4 linked regions of the Arabidopsis thaliana genome follow. The protein of the gene in region 2 purifies or fractionates together with the protein of the main gene of each other region. This does not show direct contact. Each region holds a gene or a part of one and is shown on either strand. Other genes may lie near its edges.

The links.
Region 1: the proteins of AT1G79990 (region 2) and AT4G31480 fractionate together in Arabidopsis thaliana (co-fractionation; one large-scale study listed by BioGRID). This does not show direct contact.
Region 3: the proteins of AT1G79990 (region 2) and AT4G34450 fractionate together in Arabidopsis thaliana (co-fractionation; one large-scale study listed by BioGRID). This does not show direct contact.
Region 4: the proteins of AT1G79990 (region 2) and AT1G30630 fractionate together in Arabidopsis thaliana (co-fractionation; one large-scale study listed by BioGRID). This does not show direct contact.

What each region holds. Positions count from the first base shown.
Region 1 is NC_003075.7:15,261,481-15,268,395, reverse strand, and holds AT4G31480 (Coatomer, beta subunit), read right to left. Parts: upstream 5,243-6,915; 5' UTR 4,321-5,242; coding exon 2,206-4,320; intron 1,979-2,205; coding exon 1,469-1,978; intron 1,377-1,468; coding exon 1,291-1,376; intron 1,217-1,290; coding exon 1,012-1,216; 3' UTR 1,011-1,011; intron 928-1,010; 3' UTR 505-927; downstream 1-504. Other genes in the region: AT4G31470 (CAP (Cysteine-rich secretory proteins, Antigen 5, and Pathogenesis-related 1 protein) superfamily protein), read left to right, coding at 6,093-6,650. UniProt on the Arabidopsis thaliana protein: The coatomer is a cytosolic protein complex that binds to dilysine motifs and reversibly associates with Golgi non-clathrin-coated vesicles, which further mediate biosynthetic protein transport from the ER, via the Golgi up to the trans Golgi network.
Region 2 is NC_003070.9:30,083,847-30,091,754, forward strand, and holds the start of AT1G79990 (coatomer subunit beta-2), read left to right. Parts: upstream 1-1,903; 5' UTR 1,904-2,063; coding exon 2,064-2,066; intron 2,067-2,185; exon of another isoform or gene 2,186-2,322; intron 2,323-2,342; coding exon 2,343-2,363; intron 2,364-2,448; coding exon 2,449-2,510; intron 2,511-2,586; coding exon 2,587-2,641; intron 2,642-2,746; coding exon 2,747-2,783; intron 2,784-2,862; coding exon 2,863-3,188; intron 3,189-3,297; coding exon 3,298-3,429; intron 3,430-3,571; coding exon 3,572-3,720; intron 3,721-3,833; coding exon 3,834-3,902; intron 3,903-4,038; coding exon 4,039-4,186; intron 4,187-4,280; coding exon 4,281-4,346; intron 4,347-4,629; coding exon 4,630-4,818; intron 4,819-4,941; coding exon 4,942-5,082; intron 5,083-5,268; coding exon 5,269-5,343; intron 5,344-5,467; coding exon 5,468-5,644; intron 5,645-5,733; coding exon 5,734-5,825; intron 5,826-5,904; coding exon 5,905-6,021; intron 6,022-6,178; coding exon 6,179-6,293; intron 6,294-6,377; and 12 more. Other genes in the region: AT1G79985 (structural molecules protein), read left to right, coding at 676-899, 996-1,222, 1,341-1,348. UniProt on the Arabidopsis thaliana protein: The coatomer is a cytosolic protein complex that binds to dilysine motifs and reversibly associates with Golgi non-clathrin-coated vesicles, which further mediate biosynthetic protein transport from the ER, via the Golgi up to the trans Golgi network.
Region 3 is NC_003075.7:16,469,062-16,476,761, forward strand, and holds the start of AT4G34450 (coatomer gamma-2 subunit, putative / gamma-2 coat protein, putative / gamma-2 COP), read left to right. Parts: upstream 1-1,674; 5' UTR 1,675-2,894; coding exon 2,895-2,940; intron 2,941-3,164; coding exon 3,165-3,313; intron 3,314-3,415; coding exon 3,416-3,529; intron 3,530-3,619; coding exon 3,620-3,820; intron 3,821-3,899; coding exon 3,900-4,001; intron 4,002-4,435; coding exon 4,436-4,543; intron 4,544-4,623; coding exon 4,624-4,857; intron 4,858-4,996; coding exon 4,997-5,247; intron 5,248-5,379; coding exon 5,380-5,551; intron 5,552-5,624; coding exon 5,625-5,780; intron 5,781-5,851; coding exon 5,852-5,902; intron 5,903-6,084; coding exon 6,085-6,222; intron 6,223-6,301; coding exon 6,302-6,499; intron 6,500-6,580; coding exon 6,581-6,712; intron 6,713-6,796; coding exon 6,797-6,970; intron 6,971-7,166; coding exon 7,167-7,406; intron 7,407-7,539; coding exon 7,540-7,700. UniProt on the Arabidopsis thaliana protein: The coatomer is a cytosolic protein complex that binds to dilysine motifs and reversibly associates with Golgi non-clathrin-coated vesicles, which further mediate biosynthetic protein transport from the ER, via the Golgi up to the trans Golgi network.
Region 4 is NC_003070.9:10,857,708-10,861,982, forward strand, and holds AT1G30630 (Coatomer epsilon subunit), read right to left. Parts: upstream 2,616-4,275; 5' UTR 2,467-2,615; coding exon 2,296-2,466; intron 2,207-2,295; coding exon 2,117-2,206; intron 1,924-2,116; coding exon 1,772-1,923; intron 1,688-1,771; coding exon 1,552-1,687; intron 1,460-1,551; coding exon 1,304-1,459; intron 1,103-1,303; coding exon 1,023-1,102; intron 933-1,022; coding exon 839-932; 3' UTR 525-838; downstream 1-524. Other genes in the region: MUR4 (NAD(P)-binding Rossmann-fold superfamily protein), read left to right, coding at 16-263; AT1G30640 (Protein kinase family protein), read left to right, coding at 3,590-3,813, 3,990-4,164. UniProt on the Arabidopsis thaliana protein: The coatomer is a cytosolic protein complex that binds to dilysine motifs and reversibly associates with Golgi non-clathrin-coated vesicles, which further mediate biosynthetic protein transport from the ER, via the Golgi up to the trans Golgi network.

The sequences.
Region 1 (6,915 bases), on a different chromosome or scaffold from region 2:
GACAAGCCCAGTCCAATAGAAGTTGAGAAAGCATAGCCCCTACTTTTTTATTGTTTCCAAAACGACCCCAAACTTTTAAAAGTGAGCGTAATTAGGAATTATGTCAGTTTTTCCTTGAAACGTGCTCCAACTTTCGGTTAGAGATGGATGATTTTATGATAGAAGATGATGTATTTGGATCTTTCCTCTTCTACTCGCGTCTAGTATTTTCTTGTCTAATGATGTTAGCGATATCTAGTTACGCGAATGTGTATGTGATCGTCCCTTGGTACCTTGAGGCAAGTGATTTAAGATTATTAAATTTTGCTTAAAAATTATTGCTTGGTTTTCTTGAGAATAGAAAAGGCTGTAAGAATCAAATGTTATGGGTTTGGTTGTGAAGCAATTGGTTTCTTTGGCTTGTAGATTTTGAATATGGTCCATATTAATACATGCGTTTCATTACAACTTACTTGCTAACATAACCCGTATTATATAGCTACTAGCAAATTAAAGTCTAGCTTTGACAATTGAATAGTTCACTTCAAATGCATATGAAAGAAAAGAATAGAGATCAAATCTGAAATGACGAGTTCTAAAATGGAGCAAACCAAATGTAGCTTTGAAATCTACAATATCATAAAGTTCACGGTTTAAAGTCCTCAACAAACGACATTATAGAAGAAAAAGCATTACAAATAAAACAAAATCGTCTAGTACAGTAAAAAACACACTGCCATATGAGATGAAGAAATCCATCGGTACCATACCAGAAAATATACCGGTTAAGTAAGAACGATAGCCAATTACTCTTTTTACATATACCCTTGAACGCCTCCTCCCTCCATATAATAAGCAGATTCAACCAACGATAATTGCTCAAGAGAAACGTACGTAGTCTAAACCTGTTACCTTTGCACGCCACTGTGAGAAATCATCGGTATGGTACTGAAATTTAGACCAATTGCGGTTTAAGGATTAAAACATGTATTAATCGAGAAATAGAATATGTTTTGAAAAGATTAGCTAACCTCAGCTACTACCCTTTTGTTTGAGGGTGATTTTGTCCCCAAGACTTAGGGCAATCCCTTGCGTCTTGCTCCTTATCCTTATGTAACCACTCAATGCTCCATCCGTTTGCTTCTCAATACTCACATTCACAAGAGCATCCTCACCAAATACACTTTTTGCGTATAAGTTTGCTGCAAGGAATCCACATTCGCCTTCTATTGCGGATCTGCAAGTAAAGAAGTATTAATTAGTAAGAAGAGTTTTTCGTTTCTACAGGATGAAAGAAGAATTTACACTTACGGAGCAGTGAGACATTTCATGTTTGTAGATTTGATAATGTGGTCGAGGAATTCTCTTTCGTTTTGTATTGTGGTGTTCACAGCAACCTGACATAAAGAATACAACAGGAATTGGTTATACCAAACTCCAACAAACATACGAAAAGAAGGTACAACTATAAAAGGTTTCAATAAATTACCTTGTTTTCCCATTCGAACTCTGCCCACATAGTTCTGAAAGCAACCTCTGAACACACAGCAGGGGAGATATAGTCCATGATATCAATGTGTATGTCATTAAGAACAACGACGTTTCGCTCCATTACATTTGATGTCTCATAGACGATGTTCCCGAATATGACTCCCGTCTCTGTGGACGACACCTTGATGTTTGCTTTAATCTGCATGCTTCTTTCAGGTGCCAGACTGTAGTTCTGAGGACGCTCAACAAGTTTGAGATCACCCATGGTTGCTAACTCCAAGCACAAGTTCTGAAGGGTTTCCTTGGTTCGGTTGATTACTGTAACTTCAAGAGCAATATCATAATGGTGTACCGTCACATATGCTTCAGCATAGACTGGGTCACTGAATCCTGTGAGTTGAAGAATGCGGTTAAGTTTGTTAGCATCGTTCTCGTCCTTGGTGAATTCTCCAGTTGCACGCTTTAGGTCATCTTGTACTTGGTCTTCCAACTCAAGTTGACTCATTCCCTGAAAGAAACTTATCGTCAGTAATTTCAACTACTGACCGAAATAAATAAACATAACATGCCACTATCAACTTTCGAACTTTCTTTGAGAATGCGAAAAAAAAAATTGGATATGAACTGTAAGAAAAAGTAGACACCAACGTAACAGAACTGAACAGATTGAAAAGGAAAACTCATATGGAAAAAAAAACCCAATAAAGCAAAGGGAAGCTTAGGAAGTAATAATACCTTCCGACTCTTTAGATGGAAGAAGTCAATTAGATCATCAGGTTGAGCATGCGTTGTTTGGGTCTTCGCCTTCAGTTCCTCCATCTCTCTAAGCTGTTTTTCAGAAATCATCTTGACAAAACTCTGGCGGCAGGATTCTAACCATATCTTTTTCATCTCATCATTCCTATGGCAAAGCAATTTTATGCACAACACAATCCTCTCATACGAATCATTATCAATAGGGTGTGGAGAAACAGGAGATTGCCCAAGTTGCAACATAGAAACCATGATCAACAAAGCCTGTGTGACTGTCTTATTTACTTCAGTTTTAGAAGACTGAACCTCTTCTAACCTAAGAACAAGTTTGGTCAACGTGCAAGCAACCACTGCTCCGAGGAAAAAATCACCAGTTAGTAGCAGTGCTCTCAAATTTCCAGAAGTCAGTGATCCTTGAACAACTGTAGGTGAGGAGAATGTGGTTTCAGAGGCTGCGCTTTGGGTAGCATAAGTTCCATCAGCAAGAATCACTGGCTTTCTAGAGGACACCATGGCAGAAGAGGTAGGCTGAATCTTCTTTGATGTCTCAGTTGGCTCAGACTCCTCAGAAACAGAGTAAAATGGTAATTCGCCAAGGCATTGCGTGATAGTTGAAATGCCACTCTCAACTTCCGAAAGTGATAGGCAATACTCCCCAATTATCCAAAGGGCACAAGGGCAGACCTTTCCTGCTCGGATCTGATAGAACGTGTCCAATAACCTTGTGATGATTGAAACTCTTAACTTGGGATTTGTTTCTATTATCTCTCTAACAAAAACAACCACGTCAAGAGCTGAAGCCACATTGCTATCTCCCAAGAAGTCCATCAGAAGGTGGACCACTGTGCTTGCAACTTCGGGGAACTTCACTGCACAAGCGTGGATGGCTTGAATAAGCATTTGTCTGTACTCCCCATTCTTCTCAAGTTCTCCACTCTGTGTCTTCACAACTTCTTTCTTCAACATTTGAACGACCTCATTGATATTATGATGGGTAATCAAGTCAAGGGAAATGTCAAGCGTCTTCCTGCGGATATCAAGGTTTGGGCTTGAGAGTGCTCTGAGCACATCTATTATCAACTCAACCATGATATCTCTGTGCAATGTCTTAAGCTCATACAACCGATCGAGTAAAATAAGCTTCACATTGTTGTCACTCTGAGAAAGAAGAAGTTGGCAGTAGGTGTTGGCAGCAGCCCGAATCGCAGTAGGGGCAGATGAGAGAGAAACAAGTGTCCCAGCACATTCATAGATAACTGCAGAAGAAGTAGCACTTAACAGAGAAATAATAATCTTAATATATTTCCCCTTCTCTGCTGGTTTAGTCTTACACACACTTCGAATCAACTCCAGCACCACCATCTGAAGTGATTCATTCCAGTCTGAAACCTTGTCAACATTGCTCAGAAGATAATTCACTGCACGTTCTTCAGCACAGGTAAAGAGCATTAGAAATGCATTTCTCTTGGCAGAAGGATCTTGTTCGGTTGATAGAACTTTCTCGATCATTTCAGGCGCATCCACAAAGAGTTGGTCGCCTTGTGGAAGCTTATATATCGACATGATGGCCAGAATGGCATTCCTGCGAACAAATGGATGGCGATGCTCCAGATTTTGTAACACTGATGGAGTTAAAGGCTCCACAATTTCAGTCTCCTTCATCCGGCAGAGAAACCTCAGTGTCACTCCACGGATGTACTCATTAGGATGCTGAAGGTTATTACGAAGATTCTGGCATATCAAAATCATTTCAGGTAACACCTTCCCCTTAGAATCAGTCTTTTCAATCAGCTCCAGGTACAGCAACAGAAGCTTTTGGATTGTGTGGTCCTCAGAAGGTAGCACATATCTTATAATGGTTATGAAAAGCTGAGGAATGGTTTCACCATTCAGCAAAAGCATAATTGCCTTCTTCATGGCATCAACTTTAGCTTCAACATCATTTCCTTCGAGAGCTTCTTTAATCTCATTAGCAACTGCTGGAGTCCCTTTGTCATAGTGAACAAGCATGGTACTAGATTTGTCCATCTTCTCCGGTGCTGCACAAAAAGTGAAAGAGAAAAAAATCTGTGAGCTCAAATGAAAAGGAAAAACCATTCACGAACAAGTGTTCCTTTGTTAATATAAGAAATAGAAGATGAATAGAGCAAAATTGTTACAATTGATTAAAGACATAATGAAGTATAGATCACAAGTAAAAACAAGATATCAAAACTTTTAATATTTCTGGCGATTTCAAGTTCGAATTACTGAATATAAGCACCTTACTAGTGTCCTCATCAGTGCTAGAGTAAGTTCTATACAAGAAGTTCAACAGTATCATCGGCGATAATCCATACCTCTCTGCTTGGATTTCAATACATTGAATACATGATCTCTATTCTCGAATCCGTGGTTTATGAGAAAACATCATAATTTCAGAAGAATATTCGGTAATGTCCAATCAGAGACCCAAAGATGCAAAACATTGACAAATCTAAATCCTCAGATCCAGCAATACACATCACTGTACTACAACTACGACCAAAATAATAACATAAAAACGAAAAATCAGTTAAAACAGCTTCGGATCAACCAAAATTCAAAAAAAAAAAAAATGCGATCTATCTCCCCAGATTAGATGAACAAACAATGAAATCTACATAATTCGCAGTCTCACTCAGCTGCACAAACATGAAAATCGGTTTCCTACCGGAATCAGATCAATATTCAACGAGATCAAACAAAGAGCGCCAGAGAATAATTGAACATTGTAGATTTTCACAAAGGAAAAGGCAAAAGTGGGATCGATCTCTATGAAATCTGAGTCGCAAGTTTAACACAGAGAGACAAACCTCAAAGGTACGAGATCCAGGGAGAGAGGAGGAGGAGATCCACAGTAACACAGCTTTGGATCCAAGAGAAGATTTTGGATCTCGGAAAACAAAACACTCGCACCAAGGAAGTGAGAGATCAAATGTGCTTAATATTATGGTGGTGGATTCGTCAGGTGAATTAACTCCTCCAAATCCTTTTGGGTTTGATTTTGGAAAACGAAGAACGGAAAAAAGCGAGTCAACCTCAAAAGCCCAAATATTGATTAACGACAAGCCCAGTCCAACAGAACTTGAGAAAAATATAGCCCCTATTGTTTTAATTGTTTCCAAAACGACCCCACACGTTATAAAATAAACTGAATACTGAAAGCATAGGACACTTTGGGTCAGAGTTTATAACCTAGCTAACAAACGGTGGTCAACTAAATTGATTTTTTTCGTCTATTTGATGTTCTATATAATATAAATTTAGTTAATCAACGGTAAGCTCAATGACTATAAGCCTCACAATACAAATTGATCTCCAAGGAATGTATAAGATTTCTTGAAAACAAGGCATCCAAATTTGTATCACGTTCTCTAGCACACCATCTGATACGCCTCATAAATCTGCATAGTAAACATGTTATAACTAAACAAGTATTTTAAGAGTGGTCAAATTAAATATCTAACTTAGGTTTTCATTTGAATGAGTTTGTATATAATGTTTTATGCTTGGGATATATTCTCGTTGCTATGATAAAGTCTCTTCTTACAAGAAAAAAAGAAAACATCCTATTAAAACTTCCTTCATATATAATGATCTATTAATTAGCTCAATAATGTATGCTTTGTTTGAATAAAATCATTCCCTACAAATAATCAATGTTCCACCGAAATGATTAGCACTTGTCATTGCGCATTATTAACATAGCATGTGTTTAGATTCGTTAGATGATATATACGTACAAATATGAAAGCATAAACAATTATGTGTGTGTGTGTATATATATATGGTAAGGATCGTACTAGCTAGATCTAGAGGCTCAGAAACAAATCTAACTTAGCATCCCAATGGAACAAAAAACTCTGATATTCATCATCATTATCATAGTTATCAGCACTCCACTTCCTTCTCTCTCTTTTCAAATCCCATCAAACAGAACACCGACAACATCAACACTAATTTTTTCTCAAGACAAAGCTCTAGCCCGCAACACCATTCAGCAGCAGTTTCTCCGACCACACAACATCTTACGAGCCAAGCTTCGTCTCCCTCCTCTCAAATGGAGCAATAGCCTCGCCCTCTATGCGAGCCGGTGGGCCAGAACCCGCCGTGGAGATTGCAAACTTATCCACTCCGGGGGACCTTACGGGGAGAATCTCTTCTGGGGAAGCGGAAAAGGTTGGACTCCACGGGATGCGGTGGCTGCATGGGCCTCGGAGATGAAATACTATGACCGGAGGACTTCCCACTGCAAGGCGAATGGGGATTGTTTGCATTACACGCAACTTGTATGGAAGAAGAGTTCGAGGATTGGGTGTGCAATCAGTTTTTGCAAGACCGGTGACACATTTATTATTTGTAACTATGATCCTCCTGGTAACATTGTTGGACAACCACCCTTTTGAATATTGTCTACACTTTATCTTTACCTTTATTTTCCTCAACTATGTACACTTTATCTTTGTTAATGTGAAATCTTGTTTTGATTCTTGTATGTTAGATAACGAAAATGATGAATTACGTTTTCTCTTGTCTGGATGTCATATATGCTAAACCTTTCGGGTAAGGTTTCATTTGTTATATAAGGCACCAATAAAACACATGATTTTTAGTGTTGCAATTTGTGTTTTGATATATCTTTGTTGCCGTAAAAAAAACAATGTTTGGCCG
Region 2 (7,908 bases):
TCAATTGTTTTAGTGGCTCACGTTGCTGAATAAAAATGGATATTATCGATAGGGCATCTTTTATTCTATTTTGGGATACAAGAATGATTGAAACACAATATTGGAAAGAAAAGCTAAGTTGCAAAAAAAAAAGAAAAAGGAAAAAAAGTCGACCACAGTGGGAGTCGAACCCACGACCTTTTGATCCGAAGTCAAACGCGCTAATCCACTGCGCTATGCGGTCATTCTTGTTACTTATATCATGAACAACATGGTAAGCCAAAACTTCTTCTTTCCTCTTTCTTCTTTCTGTTTTCTGGTCGCTCGTTACCACCAAGACCTCGTCGAGGTTTCTCTCTCTCTGAAAAAGTGCTTTTGCTGCGTTTCCATGCTCTCGGAAGGAACTTGGCTGAATCGTTGGAGAATTATCGATCTGGCGTCGTTGGTGCATCTCTAGCTGCGCCAATTCATCGGATCCGGTTTGATTTCTCCCTTTCGCGAATCTAGCCTTCCGTGATCTTAGGTGGGTTTTCCGAATTGATCTGTAATTGAGGATGTAAATCGAAACTAGGGATTTCCTAGATCTCGTTAGCTGTGTATTTGATTATTGCAGCAGAGTTTTTGTTTAGGTAGAGATATAGGGAATTTTGATATAGGGACACTTAAATTTTGGTGTATCAATTTGCTGCAGCAGCCATGTTCTATGGCACAGCTGTATGGGACCCTTGGCTTATCGTTGGCCAGATTATTTGCCTCCAATGCTCTTACTATCTCACTCTTGGACTCTTCACCATGGTCTTTCTTGGCCTTCGTGTTCCTCGCCTTAGTCTTGTCTACTTCTTCGATTACGCTACTCTCACTACTTCCACCTTCACCGGTTGGTCTGTTATTGCCTCATTCCTCTTCTCTTCACTCGCTGGGTATTTTGCTTTGCCCCCTAGTAATAGTATCCATCCATTTATTTCCCTCTTTATTACTAGTCTTTTCAGATTCCTTGTATTCATTTTAATTGGCAGGGCTGTGTACATGATATTTTTGGTGGAGCGAGCACGGAAATGCTTAGATTTCTCTGCAACTCTCTACATCATACATCTCTTCTTTTGCATCATGTATGGAGGATGGCCTTCCTCTATGGCGTGGTGGGTTGTTAATGGAACCGGACTCGCTGTTATGGCTTTGCTAGCTGAGTACTTGTGCATTAAACGCGAACAGCGAGAGATCCCTATGGATCGCTTCCACTCAAGTAAGATGATCATTCTTTCTTGAAATCTCTCTGTGTGAACAAGCATATCTTTACCTTTTACTTTCTCAAGACTGACTTAACATGAAATTAAATTTGGCTGCCTATGCTGCTGCTGCAGGGGTTTGAAGATTGGTGAAAGAACAAGTGATGAAGATTCTTGTGGGTTAGCAGCGCGACTCGTAGAGCCTAGTAGAGCCTAGTACTCTTAACAATTGTGATGTACAGAGATGAAATCAGAGGAGTAGAATGGGCGAAAGGAAGTTCAGCTAGCCAAGCAACAATGTTGGACACTGGTGCACCAACTCTGACTGCAATTTTTAGTGACTTCAAATACTAAGACTTTGGAATACGTTTCAATTTGTTCTTTTGTATGAAAAAAACATTAGACTCGAATAGGTTATTGATTTCATGTTGCTTCTTTTTTTTGTTTATACTGGATTTTCTCTTCTATCCTCTACTTGGTGCAGCTTTGTGTGTTTTAAAACCAGTGTCTCATTCATCATACTCTTTTACCACCAATTGAATCCTTCCAATTTACTGTTTTTTGGGGGGGAAAATTACTGTGTACTAACAAGTAAAAAGGGCCGTCCGTCAAAATGTAACATCTCCTATATACGGTGCGGTCAAGTTAAAAAAAAGAGCAAAAACGCGTGATAAAACGACGTCGAATTAGAGATCCTACTAGACCCAGATTCAGATCCAAATCGCCAACGCGCACTGGAAGTGGGATCACCACCACTGCGCTTCTTCTTCTTCGTCATCTCTGATCCCCCCTGCGATCAGGGGCCATTTCCGTCGATAATCCGATCTCCGGTTCAGACATTCGTTTGGACTTGCAAAGATGGTGAGTGACATGATCTCTCAGTTTCTCCATAGATCTACCTCTGAATCCTCTTTCAATTTTTTACTTGAAATCTCATTTCTGGGCTAGTCTACGTAAGAGTGTTCCTCATTGCACTAAAATTTGATGTTCCTTCAGTCATCCCCTAAATCGAACGATATTTTCTACTATGCCGTGTTTTGGTTTCTCAGAATATCATCAAGTATTTTTGTACGAGCTATTTTTTTTTTTGTTTCTCTCTTCGGCACTAACCTAAGTGTTTGCTTCTTTTGTTGACAGCCACTGAGACTCGAAATCAAGGTAATGCAGTCTCCTTTGATGCTCGATTTCATCCTTAATCATTCTTATTCGGGACTGTATTGACACGCTTCTTTGTTTTGATCAGCGTAAGTTTGCTCAAAGATCAGAAAGAGTCAAATCTGTAGATCTCCATCCAACAGAGCCATGGTAATTTGAGCGCATTCATTCTTCATTGCTTTATATATCGTTAAGGAAACAAGTACTAATCCATAGATTGTTTCAGGATCCTGGCAAGTTTGTATTCCGGAACTCTGTGCATCTGGAATTACCAGACCCAGGTTAGTATCATCTCTTGCTTTTATCTTACTTTCTATCTGTTGGTCTTCACTCTTATATTTTGTGCTCCCTTCTGATTATTGTTAACCCAAATATGACTTTTGCAGACAATGGTAAAATCTTTCGACGTGACTGAATTGCCTGGTATGATATATAGCATCTCATTGTTCCTTCTTATTCTTTCGCACATCATTTGTTGAATCTCTGTCCTGGTGTTGTGCAGTTCGGTCAGCAAAGTTCATTGCACGGAAGCAGTGGGTTGTAGCTGGAGCTGATGACATGTTTATTCGTGTCTACAACTACAACACTATGGATAAGATCAAAGTATTTGAGGCTCATGCTGATTACATTCGCTGTGTTGCTGTTCATCCCACGCTTCCCTATGTCTTATCATCATCTGATGATATGCTCATCAAGCTCTGGGACTGGGAAAAGGGTTGGCTTTGCACTCAAATTTTCGAAGGCCATTCCCATTATGTTATGCAAGTCACTTTCAACCCCAAAGACACCAATACTTTTGCTAGTGCATCCCTTGACCGTACCATAAAAGTAAGATTAGTCTTCAACTTTTAAGTTACACCTTCTTCTTTCATTCCCAATTTCCCATTATGAGAAGCTTAACATTTGTTTTCCTGTATCTACATCTTTTCTTACCTAGATATGGAATCTTGGCTCTCCGGATCCAAATTTTACTTTGGATGCACATCTCAAAGGGGTAAACTGTGTAGACTACTTTACTGGTGGGGATAAACCATACCTAATCACTGGTTCTGATGATCATACTGCTAAGGTCTGTACTGAGCTTTCTTGCTTCTTTGCAAGTTGTTTGCTACATATGTGTGCTTGTATGTATCTCCATTTGTATTGTTTGTATATAGGTTCGTGCAGGGTTTTCTGTTTGTATATTGTTCATAAATTTCTTCTGGAAGCAGGTGTGGGATTACCAAACAAAGAGTTGCGTTCAGACTCTCGAAGGTCATACACACAATGTTTCTGCAGTATCTTTTCATCCAGAGCTACCTATAATTATTACAGGATCCGAGGATGGAACTGTTCGCATATGGCACGCCACCACTTACAGGTAACTCGTATGCTGTCTGCATTGGAGCTGCTATTGATTTTGTCTTTAAAAACTTCCTTCAATTTTTCAAAAATCTTCATCCAACAGTTTTTTACTTAATACTTGACATCTAGGCTTGAGAATACATTGAACTATGGCCTTGAGAGGGTTTGGGCTATTGGACACATTAAAGGTTCACGCCGGTAAGTTTCTGATCTTTTACTATGTCAATATTTATTCCCTATTAAAGATATATATCTTCACATCATAATTATTTCTTTGTGTAAATTTATGTTTCCTTCATAACTTACGAGATGGCAATACCTTGTCTTTTTCCAGGGTTGTAATTGGTTATGACGAAGGATCCATAATGGTGAAACTTGGCCGTGAAATACCAGTGGCTAGTATGGATAACAGCGGAAAAATTATTTGGGCTAAACACAATGAGATACATACTGTAAACATCAAGAGTGTGGGCGCAGATGAGGTTTGGGGTTTAACACTTTTACATTGTTGCCTTGTGTATTTGAAAATTAGCTCATGTTTGGCAATGTTTATCATTTGGTTCTGAGCCTACTTAGGTCACTGATGGTGAGAGACTTCCTTTGGCCGTTAAAGAGCTAGGGACCTGCGATCTTTATCCTCAAGTAAGTGGCATCCTTCTTATTGTATAATTGTTACTCCCTTTAAACAATGAAGGAAATGTGGTTTTGTATCTCTGGATTGTCATTTCTACATTTATGGAAGATATATTGGATATGTAGTGCTAATGTTTTTCTTGAATTGCTGCTTCCTGCTTCTAGTTATTTATTTTTGGGCAGTTTGATAGATTACTGGTATTAGTAAGAAATATGACCTTAAATCATTTATTAATTTTGTGACTACCCACTGTCATTTATGTTTCTATTATTTAATTTTTTGCTTTTTCAGAGCTTGAAGCACAACCCTAATGGTAGGTTTGTGGTAGTTTGTGGAGATGGTGAGTATATTATCTACACTGCCTTGGCGTGGCGAAATAGGTCATTTGGCTCTGCGCTAGAATTTGTTTGGTCATCTGATGGGGAGCATGCTGTCAGGGAAAGCTCGACAAAGATCAAGATCTTCAGCAAGAATTTCCAGGTTTGTAATTCCTTTTGGCACGTTCCTTTTCCGACTGATTAACTCTAAAGCTTTTGTTTTTTGTGTCTTATTCTGTTATCTGAAATACACTAACCTATGCTGATACCCTTGTTTAATTTGCAGGAAAAGAAGACTGTGAGACCCACCTTCTCAGCAGAGCACATTTTTGGTGGGACGTTATTGACAATGTGCTCAAGTGATTTTATATGCTTCTATGATTGGGCGGAATGTAGGTTGATTAGGCGAATAGATGTTACTGTCAAAGTAAGTGCTTATATACCAGAAGTAGATCCATTAGTTTCTACAAGAAAATAGTTTATAGGTTACGTTTTCAGTAATATTTTTATTGGAGAAATACAAAAGAGTTCCTTATCTGAAATTTAAACGCAAAAGCAGATTGGTACTGCTCGCTTATTCACTTTTAACGTTTTTGTTTATTCAATGTTTCAGAATCTTTATTGGGCGGACAGTGGTGATCTAGTTGCAATTGCCAGTGATACATCATTCTACATCCTTAAGTTCAATGTGAGGATCTTTTTTAAACCTTGGTAGTGAGCCAGAACTCTTGTACATTTCCTTAGTTTATTTTCCTAGTACTGTTGCTGTTCGAGACATGGTTTTAAGCTGTTTTCTTACTGTTCTGCTGTAGCGTGACATTGTTTCCTCTTATTTTGATGGCGGTAAACAAATTGATGAGGAAGGCATTGAGGACGCATTTGAGCTTCTCAATGAAACCAATGAACGTGTTCGGACTGGCTTATGGGTTGGGGATTGTTTTATCTATACCAACTCTTCTTGGAGGCTTAATTACTGTGTTGGTGGTGAGGTAAGGCTCATTTCTAGGTTTTTGGAAAGAAACGTTTTATGTTTTTTATTTTGTTGTAATTGAGATTCAGTACTCCTCTTATATTACAGGTAACTACAATGTATCATCTGGACCGTCCTATGTACTTGTTGGGTTATCTCGCTAATCAAAGCAGGGTTTATTTGATTGACAAAGAGTTCAAGTAAGCAGATGTTTTACTGTTATGATTGCTAACAATGTTTTGTAACTTACTGACTTCTGTGTCCACTTTATGATTACAGTGTTATTGGATACACTTTACTTTTAAGTTTGATTGAGTACAAGACTCTTGTGATGCGTGGAGATTTGGAACAGGCTAATGAAGTCTTACCTTCAATTCCTAAGGAGCACCATAATAGGTATGAGAATGTGCTTTCCCTCGCATTATGGTTACAGCTGGATTATGGTGTTAGTAAACATGTATCCAAGGTCACATAATGGTTTAAATTGTTTTCCTAAATTCACGCATTCCTACTTTTCTGATTCTCGACTTCAAAATCCTGTTCGTTTTGTCAGCGTGGCACACTTTTTGGAGTCACGTGGCATGACAGAAGATGCTCTAGAAGTAGCAACTGATCCTGACTACAGATTTGAGTTGGCCATACAGCTCGGTAGATTGGCTGTCGCAAAGGTTAGTCTGTAGTTTTTACCATTTGAGAAGCTTTATTTCCATGACTTACCGATATGTTTTTACTCGATTCTTATTTTTTGACAGGACATTGCTGTAGAGGCACAAAATGAATCTAAATGGAAGCAACTTGGAGAATTAGCTATGTCAAGTGGGAAGGTGACCATTTTTTAGCTGCAATCAGTGTTCTAGGATTCTTACAAAGGTTAAAGCTAACATGTATTTTTCTTTTCATTTTCCTTCCCATGCTTGGACTACTTAGCTGGATATGGCTGAGGAATGCATGAGGCATGCTATGGATTTGAGTGGTCTGCTGCTGCTTTATTCTTCATTGGGAGATGCAGATGGAATGATGAAGCTGGCAGCACTTGCAAAAGAGCAAGGAAAGAACAATGTCGCTTTTCTTTGCTTGTTCATGTTGGGTCAAGTAGAAGACTGCCTGCATCTGTTGGTGGAAAGGTACATTGTTTACTATTTCTTACATGTGGAACATATATTCCCGCAACTAATTACGTCTATGCTGATATTAATATGGTTACAGTAATCGAATACCTGAAGCCGCTCTGATGGCGAGATCGTACCTTCCAAGCAAGGTCTCCGAAATAGTGGCATTGTGGAGAAACGATTTGACCAAGGTTAGTGGTAGACACATCCGATGCACCTTGTGATTGAATTTCAAACCTTGCCTGTTGAGATATCCACAATTTTTCTTCATCCTCTGTCAATCTGGATATAGATAAGTCCAAAGGCTGCTGAATCTCTGGCTGATCCCGAAGAGTATCCCAATCTCTTTGAGGAGTGGCAAGTCGCCCTGTCCCTTGAAAATAGAGCTGCAGAGACGAGGTATCTTTTCGTCGTTGCCGTCATTAGCTTATTCTTAAAAACAGTGCTTATGAGGAAACCTTTTTAATTGAATTGTGGGACTTAAGCCATTTAGAGTCATGTGTCTGTATTACATAGCAAGGTAGCCGTCATGTATTTGCTTATAATTTGAATTTATACCCGTATAAACATAAGCCGAATGTCGATTTCATTTTTTCAGGATCCTCATAAACAAAGTATTTTTGTTGACTTATCTTGCAGGGGCGTCCATCCTCCTGCTGGGGATTATTGTAGTCATGCAGACAGAGATCATACAACTTTAGTGGATGCTTTTAGAATTATGCAAATAGAGGAAGAGGGTCGACTTGAGCAAGGGGATGTTCTCGACGAGGTATGCATGTTTACATTACATGCATTGAAGAGGATTGTCTTTTACCCATGATATCCAATCCAATGGTCTTGGCCATGGTGGACAATGGTAGGATCATTAATTCTACTGTCGCTGCTTCATTTGTTGTGAACAGGTTGGGGAAGAGGGGGAAGATGGAGAGGAAGAGGAGGAGGAGGATCGTCAGGAAGAGAGTAGTGATGGGAGACAGCAGAATGTGGAAGAAGAGGCTGTTGTGGTGGACGCTGACTCTACGGATGGTGCTGTGCTAGTTAATGGTAACGAGTCTGAAGAACAGTGGGGTAAGATTAGTGAAGGAACCGCATCAGCCTTATAGCATTTGTGGTTATCAATTGATTATAAGATGTCGCTGCACCAAAATATCCTTTTGCCATCTGCACATATATC
Region 3 (7,700 bases), on a different chromosome or scaffold from region 2:
GTTTCTGCTACTCAAATAAGAAAAGGAAACAATCAAAATTTCCTTTTTTCATTGAACAAACGTGTACTTATAAATACACCCCTTCTCTCTTCTTCCTTGAGAAAAGTCTCCATTCTCTCTTCTTCTTCCTGGAAACCTAAACCACGTAAGGATTTGCTCTGAATCTAAATATTGACGTGGAGAAGACGCGATCTTACTAATTCTCCATTCTCTGCTTCAACTTCACCGTAAGATTGAACAAACCTTTACTTATATATACCTCTTCTTTCTTGAGAAATCCAAATTCTCCATTCTCTCTTCTTCTTCCAAACCAAAACCTAATTCTCCATTCTCTGCTTCAACTTCACCGTAAGATTGATCGGTTGATAAAGCGGCTCTTTTTGGTGATTGATCTCTGTTGTGACTACATCTTAGGTCAATTCAGATTGCTTTCATATCAAGTCTCTCCTAATTTCACAAGATCAAAGATCCCGGCCATGGATTCAGTTGTCGACGGCGAAGGAGAACACAAACGACGACTAAGGATGCGAAAGTGGGAAAGAGGGATATAACGAAGACATGGACAATGAAAGCAACGAGCAGTATAGAACCAAATCAATGGATCATGATCTGTGTTTGGTACTAGGTGTTTCCTTGGCGTCGACGAGATCTTTTGAAAATCTTGTGTTTCGTCGATATCACAAGCAAAGGTATTTTCTTTTTTCCTTTTCTATTTTTAATGATTCATTTTTTACTAAATAAAAATTTATTTTTAGATTTTTTTATTAAGTGTTAAAATTTTCAATTTTGTGTAAATTAATTTAAATTTTTAACACTTGTTTTTGTTTTTATTAAAAACTGTTTTTAAACCTATATTTTTATACTACTATTAAAGTTTTAAGGTTTTTCTTATTAAATATTAAATTTTTAAATTTTGTGTAAACTAATTGGATACATCATCCAATCCCCTAAGAGGTGTTCTAGGTTCAATAGATGGTTTACACATCATTTAAATTTTTAACACTTGTTTTTTATATTTATTAAATAAATGTTTTTAAACCTAAATTTTTATACTACTATTAAAATTTGAAGTTTTTTTTTATTAAGTGTTGAATTTTTAAATTTTGTGTAAACTAATTGGATACATCATCCAAACCCCTAAGAGGTGTTCTAGGTTCAATATGGTTTACACATTATTTAAATTTTTAACACTTGTTTTTCTTATATCAAAAATATGTTTTAAACCTTTATTTTTATACTACTATTAAAGTTTTAAGTTTTTTTATTAAGTGTTAAATATTTAAATTTGTGTAAGCTAATTGGATACATCATCCAAACCCCTAAATAGTGTTCTAGTTTCAATATGGTTTACACATTATTTAAAGTTTTAACACTTGTTTTCCTTATATTAAAAAATGTTTTAAACCTATATTTTTCTATTACTATTAAGATCTTAAGTTTTTTTTTTAATTTTGTGTAAACTAATTGGATAAATCTTAACTCCTAAGAGGTTAGGTTCAATATGGTTTACATATAATTTAATTTTTCTTATATTAAAAAATGTTTCTATTTTTATTTTACTATTAAGATTTTAAATTTTTTTTTGTTAAGTGTAAAAAATTAAAATTTTGTGTAAACTAATTGAATATAACATTCAAACCTGTAAGAGGTGTTTATAGGTTCAATATGATTTATATATAATTTAAATAGTTTGCTATTTTGTTTAGAATCAAAATATTTTTAAATGACATGTTGTAATAATTGACCAAAAGAAATTAGTGTGTGATTTTGTTGAAATGCAGAGTACAAAGCCTTAATTTATACCAAGTTATGGTATCTATAACGTATATGAATACCAAAATTTTATTATTTTTAATTGGTGTTGTATTTTATAATTCGAAATAATTAGGGGAACGGGCAAAACCTCTCTGTTCTCTCGCTTATATTTTTTTTAGAGAGAAAGCAAATCAGTTTCAACGATCGGATATTTTCTGGTGTTAGCCGTCCTGACTTTTTGGGCTTTCTGTCCGATATCACCGGCTCTGGTAGCGGTGTTGGTTGGCTCTAGTCCGGCAGCGTCTTGTTCACATAACCGGTGGTTGCTGGCTCTTGGTTTCTCTCGTCGATGTAGATCGATTTTTAATCTGTGTTTTTTTATTTTCATGTTTTGTTTTTAATAATTCTCATCTGAGACATGTTGGTGATAGAGTGAATGCAATCTCGCTTTCTAATGCTTCTTATCCGATCTGTTCTTTTTTAAGTTTTGATTTACAGAAATTTTTGGAGAAATTTGAGAATGATGTTGAAGAAAAGAAGTGGATTCTGTTGTTAATTATCATAGCCTTAAGCTGTTGTATATTTAACATGAGCCTCGATTGCTTTTTATCGGTGAAAAAACAAAAAGATCCATGTTCTATGAGACTATCGACGGTGATTCTTTCACCGAAATCGGTGCTCAGACGGCGAAAATGAAGTCGGTTCGCTTTAGAGTACTCATCTGACACGTATATTAATATATCGACATGTGGTTTGGGATAGAGTCAAACTATAGTTTCTTCTTCTATGAAAGACTCTCTGTTGGCCTATTTGGTCCTAAATCGTTTCTGTAATCGCGGACTTTTCTTTAAGCTTTGACTATCTTGATTAATACAATATTTCTCTTGGGACAAAAAAAAAATAATCTTAGTATTTCTTTAATATTTTTTGTTTGGGTATGGGCTATTGGGCCGCTTCGAAAAGTTCACTTTCTCTATCGATCTCTCACAGTTTCTGAGTTCTCTGACTCAAAAACATATAGTAGAAGAAAACGATTAGAGATCTTCTTCTTTCTCCTGTTGCATCTGAAGATAAAGGAAACAGAAAGCGCGAGATCTGAGTGACGGAGTAATTTCAAAGGGAGGTTTTCGAGATCAGAAATGGCGCAACCCCTCGTGAAGAAAGACGATGATCACGACGATGAGTGTATGTGTTCTCTCTTAATCTCCTTATAATTTTCGAATCAGCTGGTTTTCTGCAAAATGTAGATCCAGATGTTAAGCTTCTAGATCTGTTATCATTCAACAGTCGTGATTGTGATTTGGTTGTGTAGATCTACAATCTCAAGTCCGATTTAGTTTTGTTTACCGCATTCGATCCCGGTGTGAATTGCTTTGCTTATTTCGATTTCTGATTTTTTGTTGGATCAGTGGAGTATTCTCCATTCATGGGAATTGAGAAAGGAGCGGTTCTTCAAGAGGCTAGAGTCTTTAATGACCCTCAGGTTGATCCTAGACGATGCTCCCAGGTCATTACGAAGCTTCTTTATTTGCTTAACCAAGGGGAGTCATTCACCAAGGTCAGTTAATTTTTTTGCTTATACTGATTCGATGTCATGCTTATGGAGAATTGAATTATTGTGTTCTTATCCTCTCGCGATGGTTGTTTGTTTCATATGCAGGTTGAAGCAACGGAAGTTTTCTTTTCAGTTACAAAGCTTTTTCAATCAAAAGACACGGGTTTGAGGAGAATGGTCTACTTGATCATTAAGGAGTTATCTCCATCATCTGATGAGGTCTGTAAATTTTACTCAATTTCAATACGAACATCGTCGCACTTATTGTAGGTATATTTTCTGATAAGTTGTTGGTTTTTTCGCCCATAGGTTATCATCGTAACAAGCTCTCTGATGAAGGATATGAATAGTAAAATTGATATGTATCGAGCAAATGCTATCCGTGTCCTCTGCCGGATAATAGACGGAACCCTTCTCACTCAGATTGAGCGATACTTGAAACAAGCCATTGTGGATAAGAATCCCGTTGTTTCAAGTGCAGCTTTAGTCAGTGGGCTTCACTTGCTCAAGGTACCTTTTACACACCAAAACTATTAGGTAGCTTCTTAATTGTAATGTTATGCTTATATTCGTATATTGCTGTTTTCAGACAAACCCAGAAATTGTTAAAAGATGGAGCAATGAAGTTCAAGAAGGTATTCAATCCAGATCAGCCCTTGTTCAGTTCCATGCCCTAGCTTTGCTCCATCAGGTTAGTTTGTTGCATTATTATCACCGAAGTCGATTGGTCTATGTTTCTACTCTTTGTTTAATTAAACAGCCACTGAGAAGAAGTATCTCGGAAAATGAGAGGTGTTACTATGTGTATTGGACTAGATTCATAAATAATAAGTTTTCTGTAGCAGCATCGTAGCTCTTTACTACGGCCTTTTCCAGCAATTTTAGTTTCTTGTGAGGTTTAATCTGTGTCTGGAGTCTGTCTCAGATACTGCTGATTCTAGCATATGTAACTAATTAGGTTGGTTAGGACAACCTATTTATGTGTCTAAGATGTACGAGTTACCAAATGATATGTATTGCTGCTGTTACGTTGATTTAAAATGACTCCCAACATGATACACTCTCAATCTTTGATCTAATAACTGTCAATCTTTGATCAACTTGATAATCTTTCATCATATTCAGATACGCCAAAATGATCGCTTGGCTGTTAGCAAATTGGTTGGTAGCTTGACCAGGGGATCTGTCCGCTCTCCCTTGGCTCAGTGTCTTTTGATACGTTACACCAGCCAGGTTATTCCTCTCTTCTGTTTGATCATTTGATAAGTGGCTGATTGTATATGTGTTATTTAGCTCTGGTTTCTAATATTCAGGTTATCCGTGACATGGCCAACCACGGTCAATCTGGAGAACGTCCGTTCTATGAATTTTTGGAGAGTTGCCTGCGCCATAAGGCAGAAATGGTGATCCTTGAGGCTGCCAGGGCAATTACTGAGCTTGATGGTGTGACAAGCCGAGAACTGACTCCAGCAATCACTGTTCTTCAGCTCTTTTTGAGTTCCCCCAGACCAGTGTTGAGATTTGCCGCTGTCCGGACTCTGAACAAGGTTTGCAATGCTTTCAACTGTTCTCTTTGTACATTGACACCGAAATGATGTTTTACTATTCTGGGTAGATTCATCATTACCTTTATCATGAGGATGAGGAGATATTTCACTGTATACTAAACACAAGTTTGAACCACAGGTTGCAATGACTCATCCTATGGCTGTCACCAACTGCAACATTGATATGGAGAGTTTAATCTCTGATCAAAATAGAAGCATTGCTACACTCGCAATAACCACACTATTGAAAACAGGGAACGAATCAAGTGTAGAACGTTTGATGAAGCAGATAACTAATTTTATGTCAGATATTGCTGATGAGTTCAAAATTGTGGTCGTGGACGCAATAAGATCGTTGTGTGTGAAATTCCCACTGAAATACAGATCCTTGTAAGTAAAGTTTTAGGGTTTGTTATTTGTAGTTTTGGTCTCGAGCATTTCTATTTTTTTGAATGATTAAATATGTTATGGTATCTTTTTAGCATTTGGCTTATGATTGATCTATCACCTTTTCATTTGTAGGATGACCTTCTTAAGCAACATTCTTAGGGAAGAAGGTGGATTTGAGTATAAAAGAGCAATAGTAGATTCTATTGTGACCATTATCAGAGATATTCCGGATGCAAAGGAAAGTGGACTGCTTCATCTATGTGAATTCATTGAAGATTGTGAATTCACATATCTTTCAACACAGGTAATTATTCCATCATCCATCTGGGGTTGCTATTAAAAACTTATGTGTTATTGAAATGTTTATTCTCGCACAGATCCTTCATTTTCTGGGAATTGAGGGGCCTAACACCTCAGATCCAAGCAAGTATATACGATATATATATAATCGTGTGCATCTAGAAAACGCCACTGTCCGGGCTGCTGCTGTTTCCACACTTGCAAAGTTTGGGTTTATGGTTGAATCCTTGAAGGTATAGTCATCATAACAACCATTATTTTTATTTTCCGTTTATCTTCTTTGACTGATGATAATGCTCGACAGCCCCGGATTACTGTTCTATTGAAGCGTTGCATCTATGACAGTGATGATGAGGTGCGTTCCTAGTCTTAGTCTAGAAAAGCATTGCTGTTTCTGTATGTCTGTTTGTTTTGAGTCGTTGCATCATCAAACATGCATGCATGTGTTTGCCTCTGTAAACATTTTCGGATGCATGCAATGCAAGTTGTTTGATGATTCCTTCCTTGCTCATGAGTCAGACATCTTTTTATCTTAAGGTCCGTGATAGGGCAACACTATATTTGAGTGTTCTTGGTGGTGATGGTACTGTTGACACTGATAAAGAGAGCAAGGATTTCCTATTTGGTTCCCTGGAGGTTCCTCTAGTCAACATGGAAACTAGTCTGAAGAATTATGTGAGTTAATCTATTTCTCGGTTTTCTCCTTTTCAATATTCTTAGGACATCAGTTATCTTATATCTGGGATTCCTGCAGGAGCCCTCTGAAGAAGCTTTTGATATCAACTCCGTACCTAAGGAAGTTAAATCTCAGCCCCTTGCAGAGAAGAAAGCCCAGGGTAAAAAGCCCACTGGTCTTGGTGCACCACCAGCTGCACCTGCTTCTGGTTTTGATGGCTATGAAAGACTTCTCTCATCCATTCCAGAGTTTGCCGCCTTTGGAAAACTTTTCAAGGTTAGGGGCTGATTTGTCTTCTGTGTTATTCTAATGTTAATGGCTTATCTTGTTTGCTTTAACTTGTACTTTCTTTTTCAGTCTTCTTTACCTGTGGAGCTAACTGAAGCAGAAACAGAATACGCTGTCAATGTTGTTAAGCATATCTTTGACAGTCATGTGGTGTTTCAGTACAACTGCACTAACACAATACCAGAGCAGTTGTTGGAGAGGGTACTGAACATTGGTGTAGAATATTAGTGTCAAGCATATCTTATCTTTCTTTCCTCATTTAATTAATTTGGCATGGGGTTGTAGGTCAATGTCATTGTAGATGCTTCAGAAGCTGAGGAATTCAGTGAAGTAACTTCAAAGGCCCTAAACTCACTTCCTTACGATTCACCCGGTCAAGCCTTTGTGGTTTTTGAGAAGCCAGCTGGGGTCCCTGCTGTTGGAAAGTTCTCCAACACATTGACTTTCGTTGTTAAGGAGGTACATGTTAAATAGGCTATTCACTTCCATCTTTTTATTTACTTACACTGAAAATGACCCCATAATACTTTGTGGAGAACTCTTATAAACAACGACTCATTTGGAGAGGAGTACCAGAACGACTCAAATTAATCACAGAAAACAAAGAAAACTCTCTAACTACATTGTTTGTGCTTTTATGAATGTGTTAAAACAGGTTGACCCAAGCACAGGTGAAGCAGAAGATGATGGAGTAGAAGATGAGTACCAGCTAGAGGATCTTGAGGTTGTAGCTGGAGATTACATGGTGAAAGTGGGTGTCTCCAATTTCAGGAATGCGTGGGAAAGCATGGATGAAGAAGATGAGCGTGTAGACGAATATGGCCTTGGCCAAAGAGAGAGTTTGGGAGAAGCTGTAAAGGCTGTCATGGATCTTCTTGGCATGCAGACTTGTGAGGTTAGTCTCTTCCACTTTTTTCTCATACTCTACTGAGACTTGAGGGCTAAAATTATTGTTGATAAAGTCTTTTTTGAGTATATGACCATTTGTTGTGTTCCTGAAATTGAAACTGACACTGGATAAATAACAGGGGACGGAGACAATTCCGCTCAATGCAAGGTCACACACGTGTCTATTGTCAGGTGTGTACATAGGCAACGTGAAAGTGTTAGTGAGGGCACAGTTTGGAATGGACAGCTCAAAGGACATTGCAATGAAGCTGACAGTTAGAGCTGAAGACGTTTCTGTCGC
Region 4 (4,275 bases), about 19 Mb from region 2:
GTATGGGTGGAGTAGGTAGCTCGGTGAAAGAGTTTGTTGAGGCGTGCAAGAAAGCAACTGGTGTTGAGATCAAGATCGACTATTTGCCTAGACGTGCAGGTGATTACGCTGAGGTTTACAGTGATCCAAGCAAGATTAGGAAGGAACTTAACTGGACAGCTAAGCACACTAATCTCAAAGAGAGTCTTGAGACTGCATGGAGATGGCAGAAGCTGCACCGTAATGGCTATGGCTTAACAACCTCATCGGTCTCGGTTTACTGACTTTGTTCATTCCTTTGGTGATGGACGGAGATTTTGATTCCAGATGGTATTGAGGAGAGAAGCGTAGGAGATGATGATGGTTTATATATAAATATAACACAAGATATATTATCCATATTATGAAAAAATGATATCACATGACGAGATTTTTGATTGATATTCATTTTGTAATGGCTTTAGGTTCTTTTAGGAAGCAGCCATTCATTAGTATATGTACCTCTCACAATATTTATTGATTAGTCTTAATAATATATAGCATTCCTGGCTTTTAATTTGTAAAGCGGAATTTAGATCTAAGCTCCGTGTTGCATACATTAGCGAATGTTTCGTTTTCAAAAGTCTGCCTTTTGTCTCATCAGTTATGGAGATTCTGGATTTCAAGGAACAAGATCTGTAGTTCTGTTGGATTCGAAACTCAATGAAAACAAAAGCTTCAGTGAGAAATCAAAGTAAAATGCAACATATCCAATGGAAAAAACTGTTTATCTATGATAATTTCAAGATAGGGTCGGTAATAATATGATGTTCTTCTGGTAGATCATAAGGCAAATTGATTCCATGGACTTTGAGGTACTTCAGGCGAAAGATTGAAGTGCTCTCTCGAAGTTATCTTCAGCTGATGCTGCTCGCTTCACAAGGACGTGTTCTGGATGTGAAAGTTTCAGCTGGCTGCAAAAGGATTGGAAATGGAGGAATAAGTCAGCTTACTGATGCACTTGTTGTTATGCAGAAAATGCAAAAGGTCATGAATATTTATACTTTAGGTAGCGAGAAGATGATTTCCCGACGTGAAGACTGCATACAACGAGGTTTGCAAGAGTTTCTGGGTCTTTAGCATCCTGCAATGAGAATAAACATCTATGATTTCAAACTTGTCCATTTTATAATAAACGGAATAGTTGAAAAGTTTAGATTTGGTGTAAGGAGTTTTCAAGTATCCTCATAGATTTAAATCGAGTGAGCATTTCCGATGACATGATATTGAGAATGGGTTGTGTCGATACAGATTTAAGGAAAGAAAGAGTAGGTTCATCACTCACCTTGTTGAGTGCTTCAAGTAGTAGAGTCTCAGCTTCTTCAAAATTACCCATATGCATGCAGCAAACTGCTTTGCCGTTCAAGATCAAGCTTGTCATTGGGTACTTCTCAGAGAAATCCTGGAAGATTAGATAAGCTTCCTGTATCTTGGAACCACCCTGAGATCATAAAGAACAATTTCATATTAAGAAACACATTAACAAACTTCTCTACACTATATGGAAAAAAGAAATGGATATTCATATCATACTACTGCCAGATTCAACCACGCGCTCGCGAGCTGAGTGAGTGTGTGGTCTTCATCAATCTGTTGCATCACTCTCAGTTGTTTCTCCGCAAAATCTGATCTGTGCATCTTTATGAATATCTGGACATTCAAAGCATGCCTAAAATATGCAGAAACAACAATCATTTATCGAGTAAACGAAAAGAGATCGCTGTGACAAGACAAAACAAATCGAAAAGCTCACAGATCCATGGTTCCTCCAGAATGAGTGTGCTTCAGAGCCTCATTATAGTCTTCCTCATGCATGAATATAGTACCAGCAATCAACCTGATAATAGCATTGTTTCCTACAGTTGGATCTGCCAACCATTCCCTCAAGCTCGAAATGGTTGATTCCTAACCAAAATCACAGAAACAACTACGTATTCAACAATGCAGATCACTAAAATAAGATCAAGATATATTCAATTCCGGATCTCTGAAGCTAAATCATCAAAAGAATCCTAGAATTCTACTAAAGTTATCTGAAATTCCGCTAAGCAAACGTTACAGAAGATGAATTGAAACATCTCAAAATCTCTTGAATTACCTTGTTTTCAGGACTCGATAGATACATAGCAAGGAGTTTCACTGCCTGTAGAGGAGTAGCAGCGGCTTCATCGATCTCACTGATGACAAGCTACGAAGACGAAATTTGAAAAACGTAAATCAGCAAATGATCAAAACAAATTGAAATCCAAATCGAAAAACACGAGACGGAAGCAAAACCTGGTAACTTCCGAGAGCGATGTAAGCGCGATGGACGAGACAGTCTCGCTCGACGATATCTTCCTGCGAAAGATTAGGGATCTCGCTGTTGTTGATCGCAGCTTGATAAGCACCCAAGTAGAAATGGTTTCTCAAATTGAAGAGATGATCTGGTCCTGCCATGGATGCCATTGTCTTAGCTTCTTCTTCTTCTTCTTCTTCTAGATCTCACAGATCCGTGTCTAACTCCAAAATAAAGAAAACTGAAGTGTGAATAATCAAAACCAAAAAAATATGACGCCTTAAGATGTACATAAAGCCCCATACATTTTGAATGTTACAATTGACACTCATTGTTATCTATTTTAGGCCCAATGGGCTTTTCGATGACCCAATTAGTTCGACACTCTGCTTCTCTTTACACGTCTCCTACATACGGACGGTGACAATCTTGTCTTACCAATAAAACGCGTTTTTATCCAATTCGCGCGGGAGTTGTTCTAATGACGTTAGCAAACCACTCCGTTCAATCGTGCTGTCACGTTATGTCGACAAACAAATCCAACAATTTACTGACACGTGTCATTTAGCTTCCCCAATAAATGACCCGGGAATAGTTAAAAGCCGGTTTACCAGTATTGGTTTTAATCAGCCACCGAGTCATCGTGACTGTAACTTAAACGGCGTTTACTGCTTCAAGATAAAATACGCTTTGCCCAAAAAACGTTATTAGTTCGTAATCCGTTTTTGCTCTCCCTTTTGAGATCTTTTAATTAAAAAAATTCCGTTTTAAGTGAATGCGTGTAAGCAACAGTTCGAATTCGAAGCGAGAGCTAAAATCAAAATCTCTCTGATTTGTTGTTTTGTTGATGTAAGTTTCTTTGATCCTTTCGCGAAATTTGTCATCTTCCCCGATCGAGTTTTACTTTTTCTTTGTGAATAGTTTGACTTTTCGTTTTTCTTCTTCTTCAATCTCGCATGGTGTTTGTGCGTATCTTGTTTGGAATTGGAGTTTGTAACTATTTGATTATAAGCAAGTTTTGATTCGAATGCATGCGTGCAATCCACAATCCAGAACTAGATGTATATGTATCTCTATGTCAAGAGTGATTAAAATCGATTCGTGTGGAATTAACTTGGAAGTGAAAGTTTTAATATTGTTTCCGGAATTTACGGTGAGATTTTAGGTGTTGACCAGCGTTGTTAGACAAGAATTTGTCATCAATTTGATTTAGTTTTGAAGCATTTGGGTTTTGGAATTTTGTTTTGATTTTCTGCAGGTTTTATGAAGTGATTTGCATTAGATTGGATTGAAATGGCTACGGAGCCTACAAGGAGCTGGTTCCAGATACGGCAGCAGAAACCGGATAAATCAAGCCCTACTAAAAAGGGACAAGAGGGAAATGTGAAGAATCTTGGGAGACCTCCTATGAATGATGCACCATCTAATGCTACTAAACAGAAAGTTGCTGCAGCGAAGCAATATATCGAGAATCATTATAAAATTCAGAAGAAGAGTCTCCAGGAAAGAAAAGAGCGGTACGTTCTCGGGATTCTTCTTGTGATGCCAATATTTACTTCTTGTGCTTTAGTTGTTACAAATGGAACTTCAGAGTAGTCTTATTTTCTAGTACTGATGGTTGGGTCTGATTTAGGAATTAATCTGCTACTGGTTTAGATTGAACCTTCTGATATCAGCTCGCTCTTGAATACAGTCGGAGCATCTTGGAACAAAACCTAGCTGATGCTGATGTTACTGTTGAAGACAAGATGGATATATTAAAGAACTTTGAGAAAAAGGAAATGGAGTATATGCGTCTACAAAGACAGAAAATGGGGGTTGATGACTTTGAACTGCTTAGCATCATTGGCCGGGGTGCTTTCGGTGAGGTATATCTCTTTATGTGTTCTTTGTGGTTGCCTCTCTTATTTTTCACTTCCTTTTTGTAAGCTTAGCTAATATCTTGTCTCATCTTTACATATAAAATTTGATGTTGCTTC